2 linked regions of the Oreochromis niloticus genome follow. The protein of the gene in region 1 purifies or fractionates together with the protein of each later gene. This does not show direct contact. Links are inferred from orthologs where the notes say so. Each region holds a gene or a part of one and is shown on either strand. Other genes may lie near its edges. The genes, in order: limk2 and ttc1.

What was found.
Region 2: the proteins of limk2 (region 1) and ttc1 purify together in Homo sapiens (affinity purification with mass spectrometry; 3 studies listed by BioGRID and IntAct, counting the BioPlex papers as one, with this or other methods). This does not show direct contact. The link is inferred for Oreochromis niloticus from reciprocal best matches to the Homo sapiens genes LIMK2 and TTC1.

What each region holds. Positions count from the first base shown.
Region 1 is NC_031977.2:18,449,417-18,466,251, forward strand, and holds the start of limk2 (LIM domain kinase 2), read left to right. Parts: upstream 1-8,618; 5' UTR 8,619-8,915; coding exon 8,916-8,931; intron 8,932-9,193; coding exon 9,194-9,284; intron 9,285-16,835. UniProt on the Homo sapiens protein: Serine/threonine-protein kinase that plays an essential role in the regulation of actin filament dynamics. Acts downstream of several Rho family GTPase signal transduction pathways.
Region 2 is NC_031975.2:33,687,696-33,704,629, reverse strand, and holds the start of ttc1 (tetratricopeptide repeat protein 1), read left to right. Parts: upstream 1-8,419; 5' UTR 8,420-8,545; exon of another isoform or gene 8,546-8,936; 5' UTR 8,937-8,945; coding exon 8,946-9,407; intron 9,408-9,489; coding exon 9,490-9,550; intron 9,551-10,217; coding exon 10,218-10,330; intron 10,331-11,434; coding exon 11,435-11,471; intron 11,472-11,561; coding exon 11,562-11,710; intron 11,711-12,192; coding exon of another isoform or gene 12,193-12,303; exon of another isoform or gene 12,304-12,718; intron 12,719-16,934.

The sequences.
Region 1 (16,835 bases):
ATCTTGAAAGGAACCCGTTAACTCCATTCCTGCTCCCGCTCCGCTTTACTGGCCTGATGCGAGTTTGAATCATATGAATAGATCACTGGCTTTGTTCGTTGTAATATTTACCATGTAGACCAGTTTCCTTCACTGGCATAGCGGAAAACTCATAAAGAGGGATTACTCTAGCCACTGCAAGGAACCATCAATCAAGGAAAAGAAAAACAAACAAACAAATAAATAAATCTATTATTGTTGCTGTTTTTGTTTTTGTTGTAAATAAATATAAAATACATCTTTATTGTATAACTTGAATCAGACTCCATGCGCGACAATATGAAAAGACCCTAAATTGACATACTACCTATAGGCAAAAGTTGAATACTCCCCGTTACTTACTCCTTTTCACAAGAAAAAAATAGAACTGAGTGAAACTGATTTACTCTCGCCTTGATCAACCAAATTAAGACAAGGCTTCATAAAATACAGCGATACAACTATATTATTTTTAAACTGAGGTGTGAAGTTATGTGTTTGCTTACTTAAAAAAAAAACAACTTCGTCTATACAGTTGTTCTACACACTAACTCTAACTGTGATATTAATCCTTAATTGTCAGGTCATGATGATTTGGTCTTATTTGGATGTCAATAGAAAATTGTATGTTTTAGTCAGTATAAGCTTTTAATGATATAAGTTTGCTTGCGATAGAATGCTGCATGATGATCATTTCCTTGCTTAGAACTGGTTGTTCTTTTCATTGTTCAGGACTGATTGTTCTTTATAAAACATGTTCTGATATTTGTATCTGAGTCTTCTCACAGCGATAGGAAGAAGTCAAACAAGCAGTTCTGACCTCCCACACACACACACACACATACGCACACACACACACACATACGCACACACACACACACATACGCACATGCTCACGTCAAATGTATTCATTTTTCTTATGTATAAATAAAGACACGTGCAAGAACAGAGCGCGCATCACAGGGCCCCCACTCTGGTGTGAGCGTTCTGTGATCGCCCTTGTATACAAGTAAATGCTGCAGCGTCTGTGTGTGTTTCTCCTCTTAGACTCTTAGCTGAAGAAGTGTCTTTAGAATAAATCTCTTGACATTTAAAAGTTGAATCTGTTGAACAGATTCAACTTTTGGAGATTTACTTTCCTGGATGATTGAGAATGCATCAAGACACTCTTGACATTTATTTTGGTCCTTCGAAGCCGGGGCAGAAACATCAGAACTGTTATCTGTGACTCTGTTCCAGGATCCAGCACTGATTCCTGACGCTGTGGGAAGCCAGCACCGAAGTCTGTGCACAGCCCTCTTAGACGAAGCCGAAAGACCTGGGATGCTAAAATTCGGGCAGGCCGGTGTTTTCAGTCTGGTCCACGGCGGTGGGATTCAGTCTGGCGATCCGAACCACCAGTGAGACGTCTGAGGGTGAGAGAAACACTGTTTTGGTTAGGATTCGCCAAAATGAACCGAATTAGACTTAGGTTTTAGAAGTAGCCGTAATTACTTCATAACAAATTGTAAAGGCGCGCAAATGTCTATGTGTGTATGTGTCTAGAAGTAAGTTGATTTTACAGCACAATACGCTGCTGAACTACTTCTATTTTATTTTGTTGTTTGCTTGAGGCTCACGTACTGGTGACAGATGAGAACGGTTGAGCTTCGTCTCATAAAACGGATACCGCTTGACCTTTAGGGTCAAGTCGAAGGCCGTATCAGTAAACCACTCTGAAGTCAAGCGTGTCAGTGAAGGCCCAGCAAAATCTTTAAAAATGGGGAATAAACAAGCAAAATTAACACCTGATGAGGGTTGGTTAGAAAAACAACAAACCGGAGCAGGAATAATCCAAAAGAAAGGGAGAGGAATGGAGAGGACGACAGGCAAAAAAGAGTAAAAGCATTAACAAACAAAGAAGACAGTGACTCAGAACAGGATAGCAGCTCAGGTGAAGAGAATAGTTCAGATCAGGAAGAACATAATAATCCCTCACCAAGTGAAAAATTCAAGATCAAAGTAGAAGTTTAAAAAGGGCTGGAAACAGACCCGACTGAATACATATAGATACAAGAGGAATAAAGTAAAATAAACAAAAGGCTAAATTGATTTAGAACTTAACTGTAATGTATTCAAGTTGATGATAGCAAGGATAACAACCTGTAAACTGGTATTAACAATGACACATAGTTGGGATGCCCTGAATGAACAGAATGATTCACACAAACACATATTAAATAAATTAGAGAAATGCATAAGGTATATTAAGGTTTTGTCATTGTTCAGCCAAGGAAAGTGTGTGAAAAGGTAAATGTCTCCAGCTTGGGAAAGGGTGAAACTGCAGATCATCACCCTTGGTGGATACAAATAAAATATAAATAAATATTGTAATATACTATTGCTGTTATATAAAGAGATAATAGCGTTAATAATGAAATAATATTAAGATGAAGAGGCACCTCAGTCAGTTATGATGTGAGGTGGATAATTGCTAAAAGTAGTCTGCATCAAGCTTAAGGTTTGCTCAACTTCAGTACAATGACATATGAGATGAAGAAAATAATTAGTTTAGATATTTTCTTTAAGTGCATAGAAGCACTTGACCTGCTTGGTTTTAAGCCATGGCTCATCAGGAGGGGTGATCCAAGGAATGGTCCTTATTAGAAACGGACAATTTTGACAAACAGAGAAGTTTTTTTGAACAATAAACTGCCGCAAGACTGTTCTTCACCTATTTCTTGCAGGTTGAAGCCAGGTGATTGGATCCTTGTCCGAGTACTCCAAAGAAAAAATTGGAGCTCGCCACGGTGGGAGGGTCCATACCAAGTGCCTGCAAAATAGCGGAGAGACCCTCCTGGATACATCAGAGCCACTGCAAAAAAGTTGAGGTCCCCGAGGATTCCACTTCTTCCACAGAAATCAACTAGTAAAGGAAAGTCTCACTCGCGCTTGGTTGCTTCGGGGGTGAGGGGGGGCAGTGCTGATTGGGCCCCCGTAGGGTAAGCCCGCACTCCAATCTCCATCCGATCAACTTTAGGGCAGCCAGGTGCAGGTGTGTACAACCATGGGAAGGTGGACCCTCTTGGTTACCTTGACTACGACGCTCACCCTTACAGGACCCCAGCTGACGCCAACAACAGCTGAACCACGAGGCAGACAGAAAAGATGGACGCACGACAACTCGCACCTAAGAGACATGACGCAAGACCACATCCACCCTTGGATGAACAATGCCTGATACCGTTATATCCACGACAGGACCAAGGCGGAATCGGCAAATACAGACTGTTATGTCTGTTCTCATATGCCCAGCACATCAACACACCCCACACTATATGGTGAATATATGAACAACACTCAAGCAAAGTGTGCAGCCAGCTTCGCTGGCATTGGATTCCAACACAGTTGAATCATCACCAACGACACAATCCCACATGCTGTTGGACTTAGTAATGGAACATGTGATCAACTCTTCTGGATCAATTTCAACGTGACAAACCGGAATACATCCATCCACTTCCCAGTGTTTCTGGACCAACTCCCAGGGAAGAACCACTCCATGTGTTATCAACAAGAGAAAGGTAACACACCCGTTGGAAACACGACAAACTGCGTCCAAACTGCAGTCCACGGAGAGGGCGCCCCTGTGAATATGAGTGGACCTTCTAACGGCACGTACTGGGTGCAAGGAATGGCCTAGCTATGTGGACAACGGGCATATTTCATACTGCCCCCAGGCTGGACAGGAACATGTGCTCCTATATTCCTGTCAGACCACACTTTCAGGATGACCGCAGTAAACATCACTTCTACAGCACGCCGGAAAAGAAGATCTACGTTCCCTAAACTTCAACCACATGACCCGAAGCAACGTACCTGAGGAATTCAAACTGTGGACTACCGGACAGAAAGTACTCCACACATTGTTCCCTGGGTGGGAACCGGAAAAAAACATGCTGAGGATCGAAACTCTGGACTACCGCTTTGGACTCTTCTTGAACGCTTCATGCAAGATCAACGAACAGCAAGATCAGGAAATCAATGCATTACAGATCGCAGTGATGCAACATCAAGTAGCTTTGGACATGATACTGGCAGAGAAAGGGGGACTTTGCGTCCTCTTCAACAACACCTGCTGCACTTACATACCAGACAATGTACACTCATCAAACATGACTGACACCCCGAACGCCTTGAGACAGATCCAGCAGGCCCAAAATCAGGACGTGAGTAATACAAGTGACTGGTTTTCTTGGCTTTACACTGGCTCCTGGCTACAGGTGCTAAAAAGACTACTACTGCCTTTTCACTGTGCAATACTTTTTGTTAATAACCAACGGTGCAGTAGACTTCAATACTTGAAATACTTGCAATTCCCTTGTATTTGTATTTATTCTATTTCTACCTTTTGTATACTCTTATTTATATATATGTCTCTGTATTTATAGTATTCTGCTCACATTCTGTAGCTTCTGTCGGTGCTGTGCTATTTGGAAACCGAATTTTACAGTTAATAGGATTAATACAGTTTTATCTTATCTTATCTTACTCATCGGAGCTGGAGTATTTTTACTTTTATTTTGTGTTTTGTAACATGTATCCTGCCATGTCTAAAACTCATGATTAACCGCATAATCATTTCCACTGTAGCTGCATACATTGCCGTGACAAATGATGATGGTGATGACCCCGACCTGTTGGAATGTGAAGACTTTGTGTGATTAATGATGATGTGACAGAAAATGTACAACAAGATGTTACATACTGATATCTCACTTAAAGGTTATACTGACAACAGGAGGGAACGTCAATAGAAAATTGTATGTTTTAGTCAGTATAAGCTTTTAATGATATAAGTTTGCTTGTGATAGAATGCTGCATGATGATCATTTCCTTGCTTAGAACTGGTTGTTCTTTTCATTGTTCAGGACTGATTGTTCTTTATAAAACATGTTCTGATATTTGTATCTGAGTCTTCTCACAGCGATAGGAAGAAGTCAAACAAGCAGTTCTGACCTCCCACACACACACACATACGCGCACACACACACACACACACACACACATACGCACATGCTCACGTCAAATGTATTCATTTTTCTTATGTATAAATAAAGACACGTGCAAGAACAGAGCGCGCATCACAGGGCCCCCACTCTGGTGTGAGCGTTCTGTGATCGCCCTTGTATACAAGTAAATGCTGCAGCGTCTGTGTGTGTTTCTCCTCTTAGACTCTTAGCTGAAGAAGTGTCTTTAGAATAAATCTCTTGACATTGGAAAAAGTTCTGAGTGTTTTGGGGCAAAGATTTGTCTGTTGCTTTACACATTATTTGTGGAGTTCCGATCATCAGATCAACCAAATCTTTAAATGTGAAAGTATTTAAATAAATACAAAGTTGGTTTGAAGGTTCTCTTAAAGTGGTTTTATTTATGATCCTTACTGCTCTTTTTTGCAAGATCTATATTGGATGGGTGTGTGCAGAGTTTTATTGCTTAAAAGCAAGTTAGTAAACGTATGCCATAAGCTGGTTTGAACCGCACCCTTCTATACCTGAACCTGAAGACTAATTTAGCTGTCAAGTAGCAGCCAATCAGAATGCTCCCTGCTTGCACGAGGAGACTGTTGGTGGTTGTTGGGAAAAGGGAGTGGAAAGAGAGCACTGAAGGACTGTGGCATTCATTTATTCCTCAAAGATGACAGTGTGCTTTTGTATGTGTATGTGTGTGTGTGCATGTACGCAAACATGCACGTTGGTAACCAGTAAGCAAATCCAAGGCTTGCTTTTCATGTGCTTAACTGCTTATATTGTCTTTCTGACAACCTAGCTTTGTCCAACTTTGCAAAATGTCAGTTTTTCTTAGAATGGCCTCATCAGATGGTTTCATTCCTGTTTATTACCTTGTAAATTTTGACATTAGAGGAAGTTCATATGATTTGCACAGTTTAGGCATTGCATTGCTTTGCTTTTTCGTTGCATTGTTTTGATGGACAGCAGGCAAGAACTACAGGGTAGCACCACACATTATATAGAGGCCTCCTTGTTGCGTTTGGGTTATTTGTTGATTTTAAAGTTGCAGTGTAAAAAATGTCATCACTAGATTTCAGTAGATTGCAGACTGCAGTCAGCTGAGTTCTGTTTTCTTAACCCTCACAGTTCAAATACATAATTTTTGATGGCTATCTGTGCTGAATGTAAGCTGTCAGTCCCCTGTTTACCTCGGCTGTTAGTAGACTGCAAAGCTTTGTGAAAGGAGTAAATAAATAAGAAGAAATCAATTAGGAAAAAATAATAATGTTCATACATTTTCATGGGTCAGAGCCCTGACTTCAGTGCAGGAGATGAGGCTTGAGGTGTGGAAGAAGAGGTTAACATTTTATCTGGTCATGTTTTCTCTTTCCTTCACGTTTTCACTTTTCTGGTGAAGAGCAGCCCAAGATATGAAGGCAAGGTCTTTCATATCTTGCGTCTGAAAAGCAGGCATGAATTAAAACTTGCGTCTGCATTATGTTTAAGTTCACTGGCAAAAAGAGAAGTTCGTGTCTAAATATGTTACATTGCGTGTTTACACAGCAGATTTAAACCTAGTTTATTATGTCATTTATTTCTTGTTACAGAACCGACAGACACAGAAGGAAGACCTGAAGTGTAGCTTGCGCCTATTTTTCGATACAAGAACATCTGCTTTTTAATTACCGCCCCCTGCTGGCCACTTTTTAATAAACCAACGGAAATATACTTCAGTCCATAGCAACAAACCTAGTTCACAAGCTGGCAATTAGTCCCTCTGAATAAAAACTAACGCAGCGACTTATACAAGTCAGGGAGGTAGAAGGTAGAACTGCGGTAACCCCCCAAACAGAAGTGGCTTAATATTAGTGTTGTGTCAGGATGTGTATGGGAGCTTCATTGTAAGGTCAATCATGACTATTACAGTGTAACAACAAATACTGCCAAATATAATCTTTCCCTTGTTTAAATAACAATGAATGGGCTTTCACGCAACTGCATTCTAAAATCAAGAGCCAAAGACTTAATAATAAGCTTATCGTGAGTATCGTCCTGTCTACTGTAAACTCTCGACTCTCGGTTTATTCTACCTTATCTCAGTTTTTCTCCATTACTTTAATGCACTGTTAACAATAGCCCCATTATCATTAATATGCCACACAAATATTGAACCATGTCCCACGCTGCAAAACAGGAAATTAATGTTTCAGCCACAGTCGGTGAAACTGAGGAACTCATGACGCATTCATGTTCCTGCCTGTATATTGGCCCTTTTACGTAAACTGAAGATTGAAGACACAGTTCTACAGTTTTCCCAGCGTTGTGGGGCTTTATTTCGACATGTTAAAATAACATAAGAAAATAAAGAAACAAGCACAAAAAATCAGTGTGACTGTACTGTACTGTAGTGCAGTGCTATTTCTGAAGACTACTTAAAAATAACAAGAAAGCTTGACTGAGAGAGTCCAGGCTGTGTTGAAGAATAAATGTGGACATCAAGCTTGTTGAACTGCGCAAACCGTTTTTTGCTTATATTTCCATATATATTTGCACGTGTTTCAATAAATCACTACACCTATTCCCCATTTTCCAAGCATGACATAATGAAATGAGGGGTGGCATGAGATTGCACAGCACTGTGCTAATACTGACGGATGTGACAGTGAATAAGCCACAATTTTTTTTCAATAAACAAAGCTGTATACATTTTTAAAATCTCAGTACATACCAGCATTTGTGTTGAATGTTTTGAAACTAAACCTCATATGTGATTTAAAGGGAAACTAACTCTTTAAATTCAATCGCCTAAAGGTCAACCATGAGCCATGAATCATGTTATTGTAAAAACCGCTTAAACGCACCGTCTTCTGAATTTGGAGGTGTAAATTAAAAAAGAAATATTATTCTGCATGGAGCAGAGAAAAGCAAAGAAACAACACGTGCACTCTGTGATTAAATCTTCTCATTAGGTGTAATACCCTTTCAGTAAATAACATTCATTGCTATTCTGCCTGCGTTGAAATGGGTTTAAAGAGATGATGCCTACTGATTTCAGATGCAGTGAAATTATTGTTTTGCCCAGCCCAGTATTATCAGTGAGCCTTGGCTATATAACAGAAATAAAACAATTTAGAAGCACTTTAAATGCTGATTTGTTCCTTGTTCATTCAAATAGCAAAAGTGCAAAAGACAAATTGTAAAGCAAACAATACCTGATTGATATAGCAGTCATTTATCTTTTATAGAATTTTAAAAAAAAATTAAATGAAATTTTAAAACAGAGATTTTGATCCTTTGATACAACTGTAGAACTTCAGGAAAGACACTTATTGTGTCTTATTGTACTGTACTTACTATATTGCTTTAAGAATGCAATAAGATCTGATGATTATATTATCCTTAATATATTATGACGTCAACACTTTGAAAGCATCCCATCGTTTTTATGTCACGACAGTAACATACAATAACGTTTCATTTCTATCCACTAAAGCCTAGCAACCACATAGTGAATCGTTGTGTAGTGCGGTGATATTGGCAGTAGATGGCGCCACTGTTTTTCCTTTCGCGTTTGGGGCCAAATCTCAGTTTTCTCCTTCTTCCAGGTGCGGAGGTTGGGCCTTTCCGCTCTCCGTACAGGAATGTGAGCACTGCATTACGTCAGTCATCCTGCCAGCGGCGAGAGAGCAGCTCCGTCCAGGAGGTCTCAGCTCAGTTTTCTTTCTCTCTCTGTGGAGGATTAAAAGGCGTTTGTGTTTTCTTCCTGCTGTATTTAGAGAGGTGGGAATCTCGGACGGGGAGGAACGAAAACGTGAAGCGGCTCATGACAGCTCTCCTCTTCAGTATGAGGAGTTAGTGAAAAAACAAAAAAGGGACTTGAATATCGACGACACTCTCGCGGAGTAGATGGAGGAACCAGGAGGTAAAGTGGTATTTCACACTGTACCTTTACACTGAAGTGATGCTACATCGCTGGGGTGTAAAAGAGCATCATCTCTCTGTCTGAAGCGCTCAGCTCACGCAATGTTTTTACCTATTAAAACGGAGCTTTTTGGAGACCGAGCGCAGCGGCGCGTCTGTTTGCTCGCTCAAATTCAGATCCCAGTTAAACCAGTATTGCAATTTTCACATGAGGTTTCTGCGCTACACCTATTTACAGGGGAGGCTCGTTTCTTTCTTTGCAGATAAGTGTTACTGTGTGGGCTGTAGAGGAAAAATTCAAGACTCGTTTGAAATGAAAGTCCTCCAGGACACCTGGCACAACGCCTGCTTCAAGTAAGTGGCTGCAGATCGTGATTTTAAGTACCCTCATTACTGTAATGAGCACAGTTTTGTCACTCATACTCCGATGACTGGAGACTTTGTTTGTGTATAAGGAGGAGGTGTTAGCTCGCGCTGACACAGACAGTTGTTTGTGTGATTGATTTTGTGTGTGTGTTTGTAGTTTACTCTGTTTGGATGTACTTACAAATGGACCTGTGGATAATCCCAGAAGTTTCTGTTCTGTCTCCTAAACACAGACTCTTGTCTGTTTTCAGCTGTTCACCATTGTTTTTGTGCACAAAATGCACTCTGTAGGATGTGATTCCTGCCCCCAGTCCCAGCTGACAGATCTCCTCCCCAGGAGAACTTTGCCCCTTCTGCTCTTAAGCTTAATGATTGCCACCGTGGAGATGATACCAGCTCTCTGGCTCGTACAGGTCACTGACCATATTTTTGTGTGCAGCAGTAAACCTGCAGTTTGATGCCAACACACTGCACATGCCAATATTATATAACACCCAGAGGGTTTTTCCCCATGGAGATCAGTTGAAGGTTTTTTTTTTTTTTTTTTTCCCATGTTAAATAAGATAACTCAGGCTGTTTAACAGAAATGGCATGTGGTACTTCAGCTTACTGCAGGGTCACAGTTGCATTTGCTGGGTTGTATTTTCCTAACATTTTAAAACTGATCACCAAAAGCTGACTGCCTGAATCTGTGAAATATTGATTATTAGAGATTTTTTTTCTCACTCTCTCTCTCTATCTCTGACTAAGAAGGCACACCTAACACACACAAGTACACCCAAAAATGTGTTTGGTGTTTGGGAGTGGATCAGGGTTCCTCTGGCACTAAAATTAGAAAACACATTTAATATTTTCTAGGTTAAATGAATCTTACAGCTGGAAAAAAAAAAAAGAGACTCTTAAGCCAGTATGTGGCAGTGTCCTTGGACAACCTTTGATTTCACTCTTTTAAAACACACTTCTCAATAACACAAAGCCTATTTATCTCAGCAGCAAGGTTCCTGACGCAGCTGCATTACTCACCCTTGATCCTCTCACTCCCTTTGTTCTTTTATACCTTTTCACATTTTTGGAATTCCTGGTTATTTCTTTGTGTAATAACTTCCTTTCTTTAAAGTTTCTGCATATATGAAATGTTTTGCATGGGTGTTTTGTTTTTTTGGGGTTTTTTTCCTAAGCACCATTGTAAGCTGACGCCATCGTCGCTAAAATTGTTTGCAAGACATAACTCGTTAAGCAACCAAAAATAAAAATGTCCTTGCAGATGTGATACCCTGTGGTGTTCCCATTCTCTATTGTCAACATGCTGCCCCTCTGCCCTCCGTATACCTCCACCTCGTGTAACATTCTTGTGAGGCGGCGTCACTCTTGTTCCAGTAAACCTGGCAGTGTTATTCAGGCCTATAGGTAATGGCACGTTCAGCTCTGCAGCATTCTGCATTCCTAGACAGCGAATCAGAGATGTGAGCTCTGTCTCAAACACTACAGAAGCCTTTGTGTTGTTGGGGTTTTTTGGGGGTTTTTTTTTTTTTTTTAGACAAAACTATTTCCTATCTTCTTCACGGCTTTCCACCTGCATAACTGCAGATCTTATTGCATTTTTCTGTGGTTAAAAATAGAGTCTTTCCCATGCTGGGGAGAGTTGTGTAACCAAAAATAGAATCCGGAGCTAGATTTGAACAACACTACTATTTTTCTTTTATGTCTTCATTTACATTTTGGTGTTGCCTCTTACTTACATGTGCATTTTAGACTCAGTGAAATTAAATAATTGTTTTACTTTCAAGGAAAACAAACCAAAAAAAAAGCCTTTTTTTTTCTTTTTCTTTTTCTTTTTTTTTTTACACTTTTGGTGCTTATTTAACGTTTTTCATAATCTGAACATTTTAGGTTGATATTAAAGGCAGTAAGTCTTAAAGGCATATCTTGAAGTTGAGTGTTGCAAACAGCAAAATGGCCCAACATTTAGGATCAGTCATGGTCTGATAACTGGATTGGTGCCTTTCCAAAGTAGTTTTCATACCTACCAAAGATGTGGGAAGCAAAGGTCTACCTGTCTATCTGACCTTAATGCTGGCTATCATAGAGGGGTGCCAAAACACTGCTGCTTTTGTCCATGCTAACCTCCGTACACCTCTACAGACCACCGGGTGCACATACGCATTATTTAGAAGATGTGGATGAGTGGATGTTTGCGCCTCATTTAGCCTACCTGTGAAGACATTACATCAAGATGCGCTGTTGGAAGAAGCCCAGCCAGTGGAGGCTGTAGAGGAAAATGTGGAAAGTCTTATGTCCTTCTTGTGGAGTTTACTTAGGTAAAAGTAGCATACCGCTTCATTGCAAGTGTTTTTCCTGATGGCTGTGTCCTCTATTGGCATAATAAAAAGTTGAAGGTGTTGACTTGGCCTCCAAATTCTCCATATCGTGAGCCAGCCGAGCAGTTGTGGGGTGTGTCCAAGATAAACGGGTCTGCTGGAGGCCCAGTTTCACAACTTTGAGGACTTAAAGGATCTGTGGTGAACTTGTTGGTGCTGATGCTGTTGCACACAGTGAAATACGCCTTTGTCAGGCTTTCAAGGCCACATGTAAAAGATCATCTCAGTATCTATTTCTGTCATTACTGTAGCCACACTTTAACAAAGGACTCCAACGGCAATGCATATTAAGGAAACGAGTAATGTTTACTTTGTAGTGTTTGTGCAGCCAACATGACCACGTGAGTTAAGTGCACACGCCCGTTCAGCACCATATATACAAGGAAGTTAGGTGTTTTTATAAGCACACTTGTATCACTTAATGTAGATGGTAAAAGGAAAAAAATGTACAACACTTATATTTTATGAGGTTATTTTGTATATGAATGCTTTTTTGTTCAGAACAAGTTTTTTAATAGTTCTTTGTATGTTTGTTTGTTCTCCTCCACTTAGACACACAGTATGTTGTACATGCAGTATTTTTGAAGAATTGCACCTTTTTTTGTCTTATTCGTAAATATTGTATCTAGCTAAAGGGACAATGAGAGTGTTGATACCTCCAGCCGTTGTTGATGCTGTGCTGACATTACTTGTCTGTGCTACAGTTTAACAAATACTGAATATTTGAGGCTGACAGCAATGTCTCGGTTCTACAATAATCAAATGTGTATAGTGGCTTGTATGTATTATTATTATTTTTTTTTTTAACTTTGTCACTTTATTAGGTACATCTTACAGTAATAGGTTGGGCCTGCTTTTGCCTTCATAACTGCCTTAGGTCTTCATGGCATAGATTTATCAAGGTCCTGGAAAAACTCTTCAGAGATTATAATCCACACTGATGTGATAGCATCACACTGTTGCTGCAGATTTCTCAGCTGCACATCCATGATGTGAATCTCCCGTTCCACCACATCCCAAGGGTGGTCTATCAGAGTGAGATGTGGAGATTGTGGAGGCCATTTGAGTACAATGAACTCATTGTGATGTTTAAGAGACCAGTTTGAGATGATTTTAGCTTTGTGATATGGTGCGTTATTTCACTGGAAAAAGCTTTAATGTTAGTTTCCTTTTTTATTATTTTAGTGTTAGCTTAAGAATTTTTAATTATTATTGTGTGTGTTGTATATTGTGAGGAATATGTCAGGGGCAACCTTTAGGAAATTCTAAACAGTTACTAAAACAAACCTTTCTAAAGCTGAAGGCACCTGACTCCATCGGGCAACTAGCAATAAAAAATTTTAACAACGCAACAAATTCTAAAAGTTAGTTTTCCAAGTTCACAAAATCATTTCCGTACATTTTTTTTTTAATTTAAGTTAACTAAATTGTTTTTCACTTCTTGTATAAGTTTTTGGTTTTGTTTTAGTTAACTATCATAACCTCTCGTCAGACTCTACCATCAGAATGCTGCGGCAGAAACTGACTCATTAAGACCGGGCAAAATATTAAAAGTTGGCACCGTAATTGTATTGCAGCAGAAACGAGTCAATATAAAGCTGCATCTGTATTTTCTCCCACTCCTAATGATGTTTAATAACGTTATTAATCATTTAATGAAAATAGCAAATTTGTGTAATATTGCGTCACACCCAGACATCAGATGTTTGGCCTTTTAGTGCAGTTGTGACCACAGCAGCTTAGCAAGCATTACTCATGCAATCTTAACTTCAGGATAATTATTCTGCTCTGTTACTCCTCAGCTGACAGCACACTGTGATACATCAGGCTGTATCTTGTGTCCTTTTCTTTTATGTTGCTTTCATGTCAAAGGAAAAAGGTTTGTTTCCTGACATTTTTTAAAAGGACACAAATATGGATCTGTTTCATGTCACGTCCTCTCTGCCTCAGAGCCAGCTGTTCCCTTATTCTCCACTTTTCTCTCCGCAGCACAGACACAAACATGTGGTCTTTCCTCCAAAGGACAGCTCCTTCTTAAGTAATGCCAGAAAACTCTAAAATATCTGGAGTCTGTGCCAAAGTCAATAATCCTGGATGAACTATACCTACAGTGGAGAGAACAACGTGATACGCGGGTCTCAGCTGAAGTCTGGAGCCATCACCAAAAGAATAAAAATGCATACAATAAACATTTAAAATAATGTTTTTGTCTTCATCGAGAATCTGATGCTCTTCACCTAACTGGCAAAATAATCATGCTGGGAACCACTCTAAACTGACAGTAGTTGACTGTTGAATATTATAGCCGTTCCTCTACGCAGCCTGTATATTATCTCACACCTGCTGTTACTTTTGTGCATAAGTTCAAGAGAAATCAATGCAGTGAACATTTTCTGTCCTTTTCAAATGCAAATAGTTGACTGGGCTGCTGTCTCTTTTTCACTGTGACTCATTTGTCTACATGTCATCACCGAGACATCAGGATTCTTCTTTAGATGAATGTGTAACCGAGGTGGAAGGTGGAGGGGAAAAAACAAGCCTGAGGAATGATTTGCAAAGTCGGGCAAAACTGGCTCCAGAGGCTTCAGTAATCCGATCTCTCATAAAGTGGCTCATCCTGGCAGTTAAATCTTCTGCCATCATTTTTGCATAACCAGTGCAGCTTGTTCAAGGAGCGCTCAATGCCTGCAGGTGCTTCCCAATCTGCTGGTAACTTCAGCATTCTTCACTCTGAACATTTTGTCTCAGTCTCAGGCATTAACTCTCTGCCAAATATCAGTTTCGATTAGCAGCTAGTCATATAACAGGAGCACCAGTCGACACTATTTATAACAGTAGTGCTAGCTCTTACTACGACGCCTTCGTTAGACTGTTGAAGGAGGAGAAATACAATGAGAGACACTCAGAAATCCTAAACCCCAGGATGTGTTTCTGAGCTAATGTGGTTAACGGCGTGACTTGTTAGTATTTAAAGTGACCTGCCTAAGAAATTGAACTGTAATCAAAAGCTGTATTATAGCCCAACTGGATAATTTGAGGACTTTGGCTCTGTAGAGTCTTATCTTGAGGTGGTGATCCTGAATCCCATTAAGCACTGAATAAGGACTTGGCAGCCATAGAGGCATTGCGCAGTCTTCAAGTAAGAGAAGTTCTCCCAAATCTGACATCTGCTTCTTCAAAAGTGGAACATTTTTATTTAATTACTTTTGTGATCCCTGCCTCTCTAACAGTGCAAGCCCCGGGACATTTCAGCTACAAGGTATTCGCTCTGTTGTACACCTTATAGAACATAGTTTGGCACGTTAAGCGTTTGGAATATACCCTCTAGCTAATTTGATAAGTTTGACTGATGGCTTCTATAGGAGCTTTCTTTGATTGTTCAACACAGCTTACAGCGTTTAAGAAACAAGGATGAGATACATTTACAGAAAGGTTACCAAGTTTGGTAAGAAATATTTAAAGTTAAATTATAAGAGTTAATATTTCAGTAGAGTCATTAATAATTTTGGACAATTGGCAAAGCGATCAGAATTTTTGTTACAGCTTTTCTCGTGTGATGTTTTTACTCTTTTATTTTATTTACAGACAATTTTTGGAAGAAGGTTCCATATTGTTGATTCATTGATTAATCAAAAATTACACTATTTTTTTGGTACATCATACAAGTATAAATGGTATAAAACACGGATGTGGCACTGTGGTGTCACCATTCATTTTTGGACTCCACATTTTGAAACTAAGCTGTAGCCATTTTTGTTTTGTTTTTAAGCCAGCCGTTACCTTTATACAGGTGAAGGGTGGAGTGCGATTCAGCAAACTTGGTTAACAAGCTGCATTTATAAATTGTGTGGGTGCAACACAGACACGCCTATCAGCTTATTATTTCTAAGCAGTGGATTAATGTAATCTTACTCGCCAAGCTGGAGCACAAACTTCTAGAATGAGCCAGCGAGCACACAGCAAGCCATATCATTAGTCTGATAATCTGTTTAAAAAGCACCAATAGCACACACACAATGAAGAGGTTCTGTCTAATGACCACATGATTTCCTCAGGGATTAATAAAATATTCTGATTCTGATTTTGAAGTCACAGATAAGGCCTAGATGATGCTGATGACAGATAACTGAATTATATCCATGGATGAGTTCTAGAAAATTCAGCCCCTAATATGATTTTTCAAGCTGTGAAGTTTTTGACACCCTTTTTGGCTGCTTGAGGAATTGCAGCTTTTGCTACTTCTGCATTGGCTCAATGTTTCAGCTCCAGAGGTTGACCCTTGATTACAAAGGCTGAGTGAGGAGGGTCTGCCAAGTGCAACAGAGTTAATGGACGTTTCCTTGGTTACATATATGACACAGCATACACAAACAAAAGTCCAAAGTTTCAATTCTTTATGTTTCCTGAACTTTCAAAAACTCCTAGATTAACAAGCAAAAACTGATTTGATTTATCTATGTTTGCTTATTTTTGATTCATTTTTAGCTTGAAGGCATCTAACGGTGTCTGGTTTTTGGTTTTTTGGGTTGTTTTTTTTTTTTTAATTACTGCATTTTAGGAGAGTGGAAATCAATAGTCACTTGTAGCACGTTTGCAACTGATTAAACTTCTGATTAAAAACTTCAATATTTTTACAAGAAACCATCCATCAATGACAGTCCACATGGGGTTATCACCACAGAGTAAAGATGTTAAAGTCAGCAGCTTCATTGAGGGGGCAAATTTCACTGGCTGACTGGCCACGTTGCACCCCTAGGTATGTGTGACTGCACTGACCTCTCAGCTATGACTTCACAGGTTATTTACTGGAGGAGGATTCTCGGCAGTTTGGATTTGTTTTTTGTTGTTGTTGTTTTTTACAGTGTGCATGAGAAACTGTTCAAAAAACACTTTGTTTCAGAGATATTGCAATATTAGAAATATTGGAAAATCCAGGTCTTTATTATGCTGTTATTATTAGGCTGTTCTTATGCACAGTCGATATTCTCTATCAGCATCTTTGGCTGGCTTTTCCCCTGCTGTGTCTCACATATATTGCACATCTAACATCCATGTAGTCAAACAGGCTTTTGAGACTCTGACCGCCATCATGTCATCATAGACATCTGCTTCACATTTCAAAATCCATTCTGAAGTCTGTTGTTCTGTCTCTGTAACCCTG
Region 2 (16,934 bases), on another chromosome or scaffold:
AAAACCCTCTGCTGTCTGATCATTTCCTGATAACATTCACATTTACAATAATTGATTACACAGCAGTGGAGAGTAGACTTTATCACAGTAGATGTCTTTCTGAAAGTGCTGTAACTAAGTTTAAGAATATAATCCACCCACTGTTATCATCTTCAATGCCCTGTACCAACATAGAGCAGAGCAGCTATCTGAACGCTACTCCAACAGAGGTCGATTATCTTGTTAATAATTTTACCTCCTCACTACGTACGACTCTGGATACTGTAGCTCCTGTGAAAACTAAGGCCTCAAATAAGAAGTACCTGACTCCGTGGTATAATTCTCAAACACCTAGCCCAGGGGTCTGCAACCTTTAACACCCAAAGAGCCACTTGGACCCGGTTTCCACGCAAAAGAAAACACTGGGAGCCACAAATACTTTTTGAAATCTAAAATGAAGATAACACTGTATATATTGTTTTTTGTGCTTTGTGTGAACAACTAAAGTAAGTAAGTAAAGTTTATTTATTAAACACTTTTCACAGACAGGCAGTCACAATGCGCTGTACACAAATATTAAAATAAACAATACAATCAATAGACATTATACACAATGTAAAAGATCAAATGTAAATAATGTAAAGAATATAAAATACGTAGATCAACAAAAGGCTTGTTTGAACAGAAAAGTTTTTAACTGCTTTTTAAAAGAATCCACAGAGCAAAAAATCCATGAAGTGCTACGGAGAAAATTACATTTTATTTATGTAATTAACACATTTTGAACTCTTAAAGAAATATAACAAAAGGAAAGACACCCAGCTGAACTAAAATGATCCATGTAGCAAACAAAAACTGTTGTGAGCCGCCACCCTTTTAAAAAGTAATTGGAAAAAAAGCACTATGCCGCTAAAAAAAAATAGATATTTGCAAAATTCTGCCAGGACGCACCTGAGCGGCACCCGCAATCACGCCTCGCCGCCTTAATGTCTGCGCTATCTGTGCTGTTGTGTTGTTGGTGGTGTATGTCGGGCTGTGAGCTGCAAAGCTACAGCCGGCTGTATGCGTACAGCAACCGTGTGTGAAAAGTGGTCAATAAAGAGATACTGAAAAGCATGTTCATGCAAACATCGTCGGGTCTGCCGTGATTTGTTTACAATGAGACTTCTGGTCCTGAACCTCGGTGCACAGCGTCTGCAAATCGGGGCTTTCATCTTTACGCAGGACTGTAAGCTGTCATCTGTGAGGCGTGAGCGGTGTTTGTTTTTAACATAGTTCACGGTGGAGAACAGCTGCCGACATAATGTGGATCCGAAGATCCATAATTGGCCTACCTGGGGTTGAAAGTCTTGATAAATGCATGGCGTTTCGGCGGGTACACCGGCTTCCGCGAGTGTGACGCTTATTTTGAGCGATGAAAAAAATAATAAGATATCATTTTATTTTTATATTTCAAAGTCACAACAATCTTCCAATTTAGAACTACAAGTTTAAAAAAAAAGAACTAAACACAAATAAAATGCACTTCAGCGAATTACTTCTAATTTATTTTCCCAAACCACGTGGAGCCGCAGTACAAGGAGTAAAGAGCCGCATGCGGCTCCGGAGCCGCGGGTTGCCAACCCCTGACCTAGCCTAAAGCAGATAACTCGTAAGCTGGAGAGGAAATGGCGTGTCACAAATTTAGAAGATCATCATTTAGCCCAGAAAAATAGTTTGCTGCTTTATAAGAAAGCCCTCCGCGAAGCCAGAACATCTTACTATTCGTCACTGATTGAAGAAAATAAGAACAACCCCAGGTTTCTCTTCAGCACTGTAGCCAGGCTGACAAACAGTCAGAGCTCTATTGGGCCAACCATCCCTTTAACGTTAACTAGTAATGACTTCATGAACTTCTTCACAAAAAAAATTCTTTCGGAGCTCATCACAGCACAGAAACAGCTTTAGTGAAGGTTACAAATGATCTTCTTATGGCCTCTGACAGTGGACTCATCTCTGTGCTTGTCCTGCTAGACCTCAGTGCTGCGTTCGATACTGTTGACCATAATATCCTATTAGAGCGATTACAACATGCTGTAGGTATTACAGGTGCTGTACTGCAGTGGTTTGTATCATATCTATCTAATAGACTCCAATTTGTGCATGTAAATGGAGAGTCCTCTTCACATACTAAGGTCAATTATGGAGTTCCACAGGGTTCAGTGCTAGGACCAATTCTATTTACATTATACATGCTTCCCTTAGGCAGCATCATTAGAAGACATAGCATACATTTTCATTGCTATGCAGATGACACGCAGGTCTATCTGTCCATGAAGCCAGGTAACACACACCAATTAGTTAAACTGCAGGAATGTCTTAAAGACATAAAGACCTGGATGGCCGCTAACTTTCTGCTCCTTAATTCAGATAAACTGAGGTTATTGTACTTGGCCCTGAAAATCTTAGAAATATGGTATCTAACCAGATTCTTACTCTGGATGGCATTACTTAGGGCATTATTAATATCATATTTTTTATGAATATCATATTTTTATTACTTCCTTTATTACTTCCTGGGGTCATAAATCGTTTTATTGGGGCCATAAATCACTCAGTTTGACATAAGGGGCCTAATATCACTCTCTGCTGTAGCTTAGGGTGACCAACCGTACTCTTTTTCCCGGACATGTCCACTTTGCACGTTCTGTCCGGGGCGTCCGGGGGGATTTTCGAGATTGATAAAAATGTCCAGGTTTTCCTATAGTCCGACAGAGGACCCATGTGTGAGATGTCATCCCCGAACTGCTGTTTTGTGAGCGCTTGACGGACTCACAGCGTGCAGCAACGCGCCTAATGATGTTTAAAAGATCCCAAAGCGCAAGTGCATCTTTTCAGACAAACTGCAAAAGAAATTTCCCTCGTACAGACCATAGCTGGAGTGGCCACCGGTGGGCCGATGGCTTTTTCGTTTTTATGGCCTGATGGGTTTTTGGGTCTTTTTGTAACGGTATAAACAACGAAATGTGGTGGATTGGCCAGATGCTGACCGATGTGTAAAAATAACTCAGTTGCTTGGTGGCGGCTGTGGCGGAGCTTCCACAGAGGCCAGCAGGTGGATGAGGGAAAGGGGAGGCAGGAGGAGGAGAGACCCGAGGCAGCCACCGGTCCGAGTATCAGGTGAACTGAACTTCAGGTAAGAAGTTATGACCTGCAGTCTATCTGGGTCAGATTTAAACCAAGTTTAGGTGGAGTTTATTTTCGTTGTGCTGACTTTTTACAGTCAGTTACAATAACTCGTACTGCGTGCTAGCTAGCATGACGGAGTTTCTATACAGCTGGGTGGGTGCTGTGATGTTACTGATAGTGAACTTTATTTTATTCATAAGGTTAGTTAGTAAAGTTGCTAACCGTCCCCTAAAAAACGGAATCGTCCGATATTCAGAGAAAATATTATGCGTTTCATATTGAGCTGAAAAGGAACAAAGTTTGTCCCGGACTTCAGCTAGAATGGAAAAAAGAAACAAAGCTGGAGTTATTCTGTCGTTACGCTGCAGCTGTTTCTTCTCCTCTCATTCTCCCCCCTCCCTCTCCTGTTGCTACTTCAATCATGAAACTGATCAATGATCAGCTGATCGGCTTTTCTGAAGGAAATCCGCTCTCGCTTGCTTGATCGCCCACTTTGCGCCAGAAAGAGGAAACCAGCGGATGTCGCGCTAAACAACACCAGCACATTTAAAGTTGATCAGCTGTTGTTAGAATTTATTTAATATTAATTTCTAGTATCAGCTGATGTTTGCTGGAGCCACAGCTGTAAAGCTGCTGGTCATGATATCGGTTTGGATATGTGGTGAGAGGGAAACATGCAGATGAAACCAGGAGATGTCCTTACTGAATCATCAGAGCTGAACAGGTGATGGAGAAACAGGTTTACCTTTTAGGTGACACGAATGAGTTGAAGGGAAGTTATGAACTGTTTCTGAGAGCCAAATAACACCAGGATCCTTTTCTAAGTAGCTGTCAGCTGGTAACTGTGCAGGGGCGGGTCTAGCAAAGTTTTGCCAGGGGGCCAGGTAGGGCATTAACAGGGAAAGGGGGGCACAAAGAAATACTTTTCTTTCTTATTCTCATTTAAAATGTCTCGCTTTTAATGAATAATTATCTGAATCTTACACCCAAAGTTTTTATCTGATGTAAAATGTATAGAAATCATACATATACCAACAAGAGAGTGTACATCATTGTCACAACAGTGTTCGTTTTTATTCAAAGGATTTATGGCTATTCCTATAATACCTGGTGGGTCTCTAGTCAAAATGCCCGGGCCCATTTTATGTTTCTTTAAGCAAGTTCTTCTTGACTGAGCCAATCTATCTGAGATGTGGATCATGATTTCCCTTTCTGTTCACACTGTTTGTGCCTATGTTCTCAAATTCTACATTGCCTGTTTTTCTGTTTCCTTTTTTGTTTTGTTTCTTTCTTTTCTTTTTTCTTGTTTTTTATGTTTCATTACCTCTTGTTGTAATGCTCAACCGAATATATTTAGATGCATGAATAAGTAATGGTGTATGGAAGGGTAGATATTTTTATTTGTACAACATAATATCACGTTATTACAATATACATAATTATCATGTTATAACAAAAAACCTTTCACGTTCTTACAATATAAATATTATATTGTACAAACGTGATAATTATGTATATTGTAACAACATGATATTATGTTGTTTAAACATGAAAAGTATATTGTTAGAACAATAAAGTTTTCACATTATAATGTGATAAAGCTCTATTTTTCTTTTGCCTGGGTGGAAGCTCTACGCTTCCGTAATGGTGTCTTATATGTTACAATTGTTATGGAAACTCTTAAATAAAATTGCAACTACCAGGTGAGCGTGTCTTTTGAAGTGAGGTTTATTAAAGAAAAAGGAAAAGAAAAACACTACAGTGGAGAAAAACGTTCAGATCAAACACCAAACAGTTTTTCTGAGGATGGACACCGTCTCACAGTGTGTGTAGAGCATAAGGCCCACTTGTAGGGCACATGTATACAACTAAGTGACATGAGTGCTCTTGCTATGCTAATGTGATATGTGATAAATACAACAGACATGAAATCTGCTTCCACACACTGTTGTTGACAAATAAAGTTCATATAAAAAAAAAAAAGAAAAAAAAAAGAAACTACTCCTCCGGCAGGGAGCGGTACCATTGACTGTAGAAAACATGGACGACGCGACTCCGCCTCCTCCCATTGTGCAAAAATGAAGCCAAAATACCCAGCTTGTGGAGGCTGCCATCTTGCAAATTTGGAGCCAGAGTCTGCGCAGTAGTGACTTGAGGTGGAGCGACTGTGTAACGCTCCCGCCCACACACCCGTTGGACGTGACCGCAAACACGCCCCCCTACACTTTTTACGTAGCCCGGCTGCTCGAGTTTTTTTCCTGGTTTACCGCAGCTGATGACTCCTTTAATTAAGGTACAACCATGTCACTGTTATAAAAAAAGACACACAGCTTATCATCTAAACTTCTAAAATCACTCTGTTGTTAATTAGCCGTAAGATTAGCCGCTAGCATACGCACTGTGTTGGAGGCTTGTTGCTAGCTAGTTAGCGATGCGACACACCTAATGCTCTTAATAGTCTGTGTTATTGAAGGATTCAGCACTTCTTATGTTTGTTTTAATCCATTTTTAGACAGCAATGAGATCATCTGCACACTCTACAGAGGCCCAGAGTTACTGTTAATATCAAAAATATAATGCTGTCCTTTGAGATTTTAACATAAGACTGTGAGTGTAATGGATCTAAAACTGTTTAAATCTTCAGAGCCCTCTACAGCCTGGTAACATGGAGACTTTAAAAACATCAGCAGAACGTTTCAGTAGTGTAGTCTAATTTGTTCTTTTCATTTAATAATAGAGTCCATATTATATCAACAGCTACATTCACCCTGGAGAGAAACTAGTGAGGGAGACCATCAGGACCAAGCTGGGTTTCCTGGGTCCAGAGGTTTGGAGAAACTTCTTCTCTTTCTTCATCACAGCTGTCCTGTGCTAGAAGTTCTGTTGACCCACTGAGAGAGGCATCATTTAAGAAACACCAGGAAGACTGAAGCTCATCGCATTGATCAAGCAGGACTCATGATCTACGTAAAAAGTGTAGGGGGGCGTGTTTGCGGTCATGTCCAGCGGGTGTGTGGGCGGGAGCGTTACACAGTCGCTCCACCTCAAGTCACTACTGCGCAGACTCTGGCTCCAAATTTGCAAGATGGCAGCCTCCACAAGCGGGATATTTTGGCTTCATTTTTGCACAATGGGAGGAGGCGGAGTCGCGTCGTCCATGTTTTCTACAGTCAATGGTCCCAATTCAGGGTATACACGCTTGAAGTACGCATTTTAAGTGCGATTACGTCACCGCCACGCGACGACGGCTGTCCCAATTCAAAGTGCACTTCAAATGCATACTCCAAATGCGCCGTCGATTTCCCCAAATATCAAGCGTGGTCCGGTGCACGCTTCGTGGCCCCATATATCCCACAATCCATAGTGCGGCGGTGGGTGTGGATAATTTTGCCGCAAAATACGGCAGAAGGGAGCGGCCGAAGAGTGAACTATCAAAAGTAAGTACTGAATATGATGTCACTTATTTATGTGCGAATGTTTAAGAACATTAAAACATTACTGTTGGCCACATGTCGGGAAAGTTATGTGACATTAGTGATGTTTGTACTTTCAGCGGTAACTTGGTTTTAAAGCCTCTACTTCTAAATATATATATAGTCGACCTTAATCTTACAGAGAATGTGATGATTTTATGGATAGTTAAAGTCAGTCATATATCCACAAACACAACAAGCTGAAAGTCAGTGATGCTGCTCAGTTTGCAGTCCTGAATATGACGGCACAAGCAGGATTCACTGCACTGTTAATGTTAGCTATGTTATATTGCTGCCTCTGTTCGGTGGTGTGGAGCCAAACGGACTTTAACGTGTGTTTGAACGAGCTGACGGTTCACTCGTTAAGCTGAAAGAAAGATGCTTTAATCACAGGAGTCACACATGTGTCCACTGGACCATCTGGAACTCTTCTTGTTTAGCACTCGTAATAACACAAACACTAAATCCTCCTTCTCTTGTGCTGTTTTGTAGCAGTGTGTACACCTGAGACTGTCACCTGTCTGTCCTGCACTCTCTCTCTCTTTCTTTCTCTCTGATTGTGGAATAAAAGTATGAACATGTATTTATAAGTTACACTTGTGTTTGAATCCTGCAGCTTATCACACATTTGATTTCCATGTGTGACAACTGCAAGTGTCCAGAGTGAGGACAGACTGAGGGACCCACTGCTGCACATCATCTGTGAGGCTTTGCACCCCTGATGATCCACCGGGACAAACTCAGCAGTGTGTGAGGAAGAGGAGGAGGAAGAGCCAGCAGCAGCTGACAGATGGAGAGAATAGACAGACTGTTCCCTGTTTGTGAAGGACTGCTAGGAAAGTTTAAAATAACTAATTGTCTGTCCTGAATCAGTCTTATTAGGTAATGTTCAAATAATGCTATCATCCCAGTGTTTTCAGTGTGGGAGAAAGTACTCAGGGCCTTCAAGTTACACACTATGAAAGGCAGCAACAAGTTTAATATTCAGAAACCTAAAGTATGTATCAGCAGCAGAATGGAGCTAAAAATAAATGTTTGTTTCAGTTCTATGAAGCTTTGAGTATTTTGGATTAGTAGTACTGCTCTGTTTGTTGCATCATATTGCTGTAATTGTTTATATGCTTTATATATTCTGAGCTAAGTTGATCTATAGTGTTACATCATATTCTATAAGGATGTTATGTGTTTGTATACTTTCTGCCCAGTTTGACCCATTTAGCAGAAGTCAGCCTGTTTAAGGCTCTGATATCTATTCTGTATGACTTAAAGCAGTTATGACATGGTCTGATTTTCTCACCCAATAAAGGAATATTTCATATATCAGTCTGATCTTCATTCTATCAGACACAGTTATCACAGCTCGTACATTTTCTTTTTACACATATATATAAGCATTGAGCCAAATGTAACAATGCCAACATATTAAACGAACAATATTTGTCTCTTATATATAATACATCTGTATATACACTGTCAGAGATACTTGTCTTTGAGTGAAGATTTAAGGTGATATATATATATATATCATAATAATCTGACAATACTATGATATTGGCCATATTATATTTACATTACCACAGTGAGATGATTTTAGTCTCACGAACAACATTAGCTAATTGTTATTTACCAATCTTAAAATGACTGTTCAGTACAGAAATGAAGCCCAACTATCATGTTTTACAGTCCTGTGGTCTCAGCCTCAGATACTCAACTAATCAAAGTGATGTCATGACAAAAATGAATGACCAACAAAACATTTTTTCTCCTTCATTTCTGTCAAACAAAGCTGTATGTAACGTTTCTCGCGGTTAGTATCAAGCCAATGAGCGGTACCTACAGGACACTTTAAAATGGAAGCGGAAGCGTTCCTCGTCTAGGAAGTGACGTCAGGGAGCGTGGTCGCGCAGATTCACCGGTGTTTACAGGTGAGACCGAAAAGCAGCTGATTGTAACGTTTCTGTGGTTATCGATCTGCAACGGACCGTCACCTCGATGACGTCAGGCGGAACCGTGATGTTGGATGCGGCTGACACGTGCGTGTAGAGTCCCAGCTGACCGTTAGCTTAGCTGTTAGCATATAGCTTCGTAGTAAACAAACAGAAACCTGACCAGTGTTCAATACCCGCTGATCAGCAGGAAGTGACGCAGACGCGCTGATCCTGCGGTGGCTGATCAGCTGATCACCACAGAAGAAGAGTGAGGCTGAGTAGGAACTGAAGCTGTTAGCTCAGTCACAGCTAGCCGGCTAACACTGGCTCTGTGTGACGTCAAAGGTCAGGCCTCTAATCGGTTAGTTAAATTTTTATTTTATCTCAGAGTTTCGGAATGAGCGGAGGAGGCATACAGAGACACAGCAGGGCCGAGGAGGAAGAGGAGGAGGAGCACGAGGAGGACTTCTATGACTGTCCGGACACGCTGGAGCCTCCTGACCCCACTGCAGGAGGAGAGGAGAGCCAGCAGGATGTTAATTTTAAACACACACAGATTAAACGAGGAGACACAGAGAGGGAGGCAGCAGAAGGACACCAGGGAGAGGAGTGGGGAGACAGACTGAAGGAAGAGGAGGATGAGAAGGAGGTGAAAGCTCTGCTGGAGACAGAGGATGTGAAGCAGGGGGAGGAGGGGGTAGACGGGCTGAAGGAAGAGGAGGAGGTGAAGGAGCAACAAGATGGAGACTCCCTGCGTGACTCTGACTCAGAGCTGAAGGAGGAGGTGGGCCCAGCCGTAGAGTTTGATGATGATTACCTGAGGGAGGTGGAAAAGGAGCTGACCGAGGAGGAGATGGAGGTAACGCTTGCTGATGGGCACCTGCACTTAGAGGCATTTAGGTGTCGGCACACGGTGGTAAATCAGAGTTCTTCTTTTTCAGAGTCGACGGCAGCAGAGCATCAGTCTGAAGGAGGCGGGAAACGCCCACTTTAAGAGGGGAGGTGAGTCTGTGAGATCAGCACTGTGGAGCTCGTCCTGCATACTGCAAGGGGTCAGAGGTCACACTATCAGGGTTTCCCTTACATGGTCAAATGAGCTGCTTCTGACCAATTTAAAAAGGGCAGTATGGATCATGTGACTCATCTCACACAAACATGAACCGCCTAAACCACAGGTGAGAGTCTGTGTGACCTCTGACCCTGAACGACCTCTGACTCCAACCAACAGAATCTGGTGATCTGTGGCGGGAAAATAAATTTTGATTGCAGTGAATGATTTTGTGTCTGAGCGTGCTCAGTGCTGCCGCCTGCGTGTGAGACTTTATCCATGGAACCTGTATCCATGGAAACATGAAAGTTTCCTCTCCCACGGCCTGATGAAGGAGACGTGAAATCAGATCAGGGTGAATGAATGTGATTGGATGAACACATGTTCAGGTATATGCTCTGTGTTTGCAGCTGACTGACAGAGACTTAATCACATGATCACATTCAGTCTGAGCTGCTGGAACAATCAATATTATTTATTACTGTTGCTCATGAGGAAACTGAGCTGTCTTCAGAAATGGTGATATCATACATGTTGATCTGTAACTGTGGTGATCTGGCGGTACAGATGCCAGGTGGGCTCTGGGCTCAGGTGTGTAACGTTTGCTTGTTGTCTCCACAGACTGGGCGGAGGCGGGGCGAAGCTACACGGATGCGCTGTCTGTGTGCCCCGTCTGTTTCAGCAGGGAGCGAGCCGTGCTGTTCTCCAATAGAGCCGCCGCGAGGCTGCACCTGGTAACATGCTAAAAACATGCTAGCTCTATGCCGGTATCGTTGCTAACATGAAGGATGTAGCGCTCTTGGTGTGACGGAAGTCTGGTTCTATGAGTACCTGCTTCACCTCTAACACAGCTTTGTGTTGGTTAGTCCCTTTGTGGCTCCGCACACAGATACACCTCATCCAATCAGGAGGAAGCGTCCTCACGCTGTAAACATCGCTCCTTTCCCTCTGAAACTTGGGTAAATGGTAAATGGACTGATTCTTACATAGCGCTTTTCTACTCTCCCGGAGTACTCAAAGCGCTCTATACAACATGCCTCATTCACACGCACTCATACAAATGGTAAATGGCCTGTATTTATATAGCGCCTTTATGGTCCCTAAGGACCCCAAAGCGCTTTACATACCCAGTCATCCACCCATTCACACACTGGTGATGGCAAGCTACGTTGTAGCCACAGCCACCCTGGGGCGCACTGACAGAGGCGAGGCTGCCGGACACTGGCGCCACCGGGCCCTCTGACCACCACCAGTAGGCAACGGGTGAAGTGTCTTGCCCAAGGACACAACGACCGAGACTGTCCGAGCCGGGGCTCGAACCGGTAACCTTCCGATTACAAGGCGAACTCCAAACTCTTGAGCCACGATCACTTCTAAACACAAGTGCAACTAATAAACATTCACACACATTCACACTCCGATGAACGCATCGGAGGGCAATTTGGGGTTAATATCTTGCCCAAGGATATTTGGCATGCAGACTGGGGAAGCCAGGAATCGAACCACCGACCTTCCAATCAGTAGCTGATCTGCTCTACCGCCTGAGCCACAGCCGCCCCCCTAACGTTTCTACTTTCTGTGTCACTTCCTGTGTGATGCCCTGTGCGTGGGTAAGCTGACACAGCCCCAAATTAGGCCGCTGGACATTTAATGTTGTGACTGCAGTTTGCTCGAGTCACCAGGTTCAGCAGGTGGGCATTTCCTCCTGATTGGCCAATGAGAGCAAAGGTTTGAAGCATGTGCAAAACACTGCATGTTAGCAATGATCAGTTATCAGTAATGCCATTAGCTGGGTGCTAACAGGTTAGCGGCGTACTAACAGTGTGTGTCTCTGTCAGGATCTGAAGGAGCAGGCGATCTCAGACTGCAGCAGAGGTGAGTGATGACATCACACCCCTCCTGGGTAGCACCGGCTGTGTAATGATTATTCATTGTACTGACTGATTGGCTTTGTGGTTCCCATAGCAATAGCGCTGGATCCTGACTACCTGCGGGCGCTGCTGAGGAGGGCGGAGCTTTACGAGCAGACAGAGAAGCTGGACGAGGCTCTGGAGGACTACCAGAAGGTGCTGGAGCGAGACCCAAACAATGTTGCTGCCAGGCAGGCGGCCATGGTGAGTTCACTGACTGTGGGACAAGGCAGAACCAGGCAAGCTCTGTCTAATGTTATAATCTAAAATGTGAGCTAAAAGCCAAAGAAGCTGGAATTCTCCATTTCATTTAATAATAATAATAATAATAATAATGATGATAATAATAATAACTTTATTTATAAAGCACCTTCAAGCAAAGTGCTGTACAACTGTTTGAAAAAAAGGTTTAAAAGTAATACATAGCACTACAGATAGGAGACACAGTACAAGTTAAGAACAGAGAAAAAAGAGAAATTAAGAACAAAATAAAAAGAAGAAAACATTTAAAACCTCAAAGCCATAGAGTTAAGACATGTAGGATAAGGTAAACAAGTGTGTCTTCAGCTTAGCTTTAAAAACCTCGACAGAGCATGCCTGCCTAATATCTTGAGGGAGGTTATTCCATAAAACCGGGGCACGAAAAGAAAAAGCACGCTCTCCAATTTTCTTTTTCCTGGCTTTAGGAACTTTTAAAAGACCAGAGTCCTGAGATCGGAGAGCACGGGATGGAATATACCGGTGTAAAAGGTCAGAGAGATACGAAGGTGCTAATCCATTTAAAGCCTTGTAAGTGAGCAACAGGACTTTAAAATCAGCTCGAACCGGACAAGGTAGCCAATGAAGAGAGTATAAAACAGGGCTAATATATTCGAATTTTCCAGTTCATGTTAAAATACGAGCAGCTGCGTTTTGCACCATCTGTAGACCTTTAAAACTTTTCTTTGGTAGCCCTGAGAAAAGAGCATTACAGTAATCAATGCGTGAGGACACAAATGCATGAACAAGAATCTCTGCAGTATCGTTTGACAAAACGTGTCTAATTCTAGCTATGTTCCTCAAGTGATAAAAGGCGGTTTTTGTTATTTCTTTTATATGAGACTCAAAAGAGAGCACCGTGTCAAACCACACGCCCAAATTTTTTACTTTGTCTCTACAAGTTATGACCCTATCATCAATTCTCAGGGTAAAATTTTGGGACGAGTGCTGAAATTTAGGCGGTCCAATGACCATCAACTCTGTTTTATCAGTATTTAAGCACAGGAAATTATCCGATAACCAGCCCTTAATTGCTGATAGACAAGATTCCAATTTAGAGATTTCAGTACAGTTTCCAATTATTAGAGGAACATAGAGCTGCAGGTCGTCAGCATAACAATGAAAGGTTACTTTAAAAGAACGTAAAAGAGCACCAAGAGGCGACAGATACATAGAGAACAGCAGTGGTCCAAGCACAGAGCCCTGAGGGACCCCATGCCTCACCACACAGGTCTCAGAAAGAACATTATTAAAATTAACAGTCTGAGACCTCCCAGACAGGTAAGATCTCAGCCATGATAAAACATTCCCTGTAATTCCAATAAAATGTTCAAGCCTATCCAATAAAATGCCGTGATCAACAGTGTCAAATGCGGCACTTAGGTCCAGTAGTAATAAGACTGAAGTGCGATCATTGTCTGCATGTACCAGCAGGTCATTCACCACTTTTAGTAAAGCTGTCTCTGTGGAGTGATTTGGTCTAAAAGCAGACTGAAATGGTTCAAACAGATTGCTTGTTGACAAATGCTCAGTGAGCTGCTTAAAAACCACTTTTTCAAAGACTTTAGACAAGAAAGACAGATGTGAGATGGGTCTATAGTTTGCAACCATGTCAACATCTAGTCCAGGCTTTTTCAAGATCGGCACTACCACAGCTGATTTATAACATTCAGGGAAGACTCCAGTCATCAATGAAATATTTAAAAGAAACAGAATGTAGGGTCCTAATGCTGACCACAGTTCTTTTATAGCCCAGGCTGGTAAAGGATCCAATGAACAGGTTGTACTACGAGCTGCTTTTACAACCTTGGTTAATTCAGACAGAGAAATGACCTTAAAATCAGAGAACAGTTTATCAGCAGCAACAGGCAAGACATCTGAGTAGTCTGACAAACTACCTGAGGAAGGAATAATCTGATTCCTAAGTGTGTCCGCCCTATCACTGAAAAACACAAGAAAATCATGAGCCATCAAGTTAGAACAGCAGAGAGTTGACTTGCTCTCTGTAAGTTGTGATACTGTGTTAAATAATAGTTTTGAATTATGTTTATGACTCATGATAAGATTTGAGAAGTAATTTGCTTTCGCTGTCGACATCGCTGATTGGAAAGAAGTCAGGGAGTCCTTCCAAGCCCGAAGAAATACTTCTAATCTGGAAGATCTCCAGTGACGCTCTGCCTTTCTACAATTTCTCCTTAGATTCAAGAGCTCCTCGTTTAGCCAAGGCATAGGGTTCTTTTTTTGACATTTTAGCTTCTTCACGGGAGCGACAGAATCCAGTAGCTCAAGAAGTGTATTATTTAAGTTCACAGTCAAAGAGTCCACACATAACCCCTGGGTAAAAATGGGGTCCAACACCTCAGGTAGATGTAGTTTAACTCCAAGCAATGCCTCAGGGCTAATAAAACGAGATGATCTGAGGGGCAGTTTTCCCCTCTCAAAAGCTGGAGATTTAGGGATTAGAATATCAAATAAAATTGCTGAGTGGTCTAAAATAGGTAGAAGACAGTTTTCAGTCATCGATATATTCAGTCCATAACCTAAGACAAGATCTAGGGTGTGGCCCATACGTGTTGGCCCAGACATCAGTTGTGTAAAATTCAAGGAGTCAATTATATTTAAGAAATCTTTGACCAGGGGTTTATCCTCACAGCACAAATGGATATTAAAGTCCCCCACTATAAGAATCCTTTCATAGTGAACAATAAAACATGTCAAGAAGTCTGAGAATTCCGAGATAAACAAATCATTATATTTAGGTGGACGATAGATGACTATAATTAGAACCACAGGACAGTTTAAGATCAGGAGTTGGGACTCAAATGAGGTAAAAACACCAGGACTTTGTATCTGTTTGCATTTAAAACAGCTTTTGATGATAGAGGCTACCCCGCCTCCCCTCCCAGACAGCCTGGGGGAGCTGAAAAAGCTGGCATCAGTGGGGCACAGATCCAACAAGGGTGCCACTTCCCCAACGCGCAGCCATGTCTCGGTTAGGAGCATGATATCCAATTTATACGTATCGAAAAAGTCTCGAAGAACATGAGTTTTATTTGATACCGATCTTGTGTTTAAGAGAGCTAAATTAATTCTCTGTCCATCTGTGGTGGCAGGCAGCAGTTGTAGATTATTTATATTCACTCCACCTTCCCTCGCATCCCGTCGGCGTAGCGGCCAATAAAGCAGCATCCGGTGAGCATGCTCCGATGACGTCGGGTAAACAGGAAGAAGGCAACGCTGTTTGAGGCCAGAGTAAGGTCCTAAACAGCGAGGGTCGCCGATGGTGAAAGCCCACCGCATGCGAGCTCTAACCCGAACACGCTTCCCAGAGCGCGTTCCACGCCTACGTCCATTTATCCAGCGCTTTCGCTTCGAAGGAGTCCAAGGGGGATCGCAGCGGTGCAGTTCCTCCGGTATCGACACCAGCGGTGGCGGGAGTCCTCCACATTGCTCGTTAATGCTGGGAAACTTCGGTAGTGAGTCACGGATGTTAAGCAGCATCTGTCGCTCATAAACCAACAAAGAGTGGGTTTTTAAAACTAGCAGGGACACCACTAAGAGCATAAATAAGAAACATATCGGGACCGGGAGACGGCGTGCCGTGACACTCGGCGCCATCTTGCAAACTGTTACCAGTTTGCCTCATGTGTAATTCATGAGTCTTTAAGCTACAATGCCAGTTAACGTTACCGGAGTTTTAGAAACAGGAAGTGAACCCGGCTGATGGAGTACTGTGTAGGTGAAATCATGATGAATGTAAATTCACTGAAAAGCTCTCAAACTAAGGACGTCTGTGGGCTGTTACAGTTTGTCTGTCTTGTAGGCAGGTCACCATGGTAACCACTGTGGTGTGTTCATGACGGCGCCAGGTCAGAGTGTTCTCAAAGCCCTGCTGAGGTCACTTCTCTGTAGAAGAAGAGCACTCGTGTTGGTGCTGATCTTATAGACTTACTGTGGTGATTAACACCTTAACTCTTACATGTGAAGGGTCCCCGGTTTGATGCTGGGAGAACACACAGACTCCGGGCAGGCCTGAGACCATGTGAGTGCTGTCAGGAAGTGAAATCAAACACCTGCTGTGAGGGGGAACAGCTGGAATCACCTGCACCATCTGTTTGACACCATCAGTCATCGTCTAACTCAGCTTGTTTTTATGAGGATGCTCCTCTGTGGATTCAGTCGTGTTTAGAAAGAATCGTGTACGTATGTATGGCATCACATCGCCTCACCTGTTCTGCAGGCTCCCGCCCGCTGTAACCACGCCTTACATAAACCGCCTCCCTGCTGTGTGTCCGTGGATGTAAACGACACTCGGACAGCATCCTGAATTCTCAGAGGCGCTGACGCAGTTCGAGGAAAGGCTCACTACATCGCGGCTTTTATTTAACACTAAAACCTGACTGATGTTACACGAAAAGATATTCCTGCAGGGGGCGGAGCTTCACTTTGGACTCTTCTGTTATTGTTAAATTAACACGCAGCATCCGGTCCTGCACTGAGTTTCACTCACAGGTGAAATAAAGCAGAATTTAAACAAATCATGCCTTCACGTCACCTCCTCTGATCCTTTTCATCAAAGACTGTGAGGTTGCACCTTCACCCCTAGAGGGGGCTGTTAGATTACTCGTCAGGTGATCCACATGTCTGCTCAATTCAGTTCAGTTGTACTTAGACAGCTTAAACAGCTCCACAGTCACCTCGAGGTGCTTTAAATTGTCAGGTAAAGACCCTGCAGTAATACAGAACCATCATATGAAGTTGAAAACTTTAGACCAATATCTAAGCTGCCATTTTTATCTAAAGTCTTGGAAAAAGTAGTATATAACCAATTGATCCCGTACTTGAATGCACAAAATGTTCAAGAGATTTTCCAATCTGGTTTTAAAGCAATGCTTTAAAGCAATAGCACTGAATCAGCACTTTTAAAAATTTTTAATGATATATTTTTATCATGTGATTCTGGTGAAAGTGTCATTCTTATTTTACTCGATTTAACTGCTGCATTTGACACTGTAGACCCTGAAATTTTATTCTTGCGTTTGGAGCAGTGTGTCGGTATAACAGGTGTGGCTCTGAAATGGTTCAGGTCTTACTTAACAAATCAAACCTTTTCAGTTCGCTTAGGAAACTGTGAGTCCTCCCGTGCTCCGTTGTCTCATGGAGTACCACA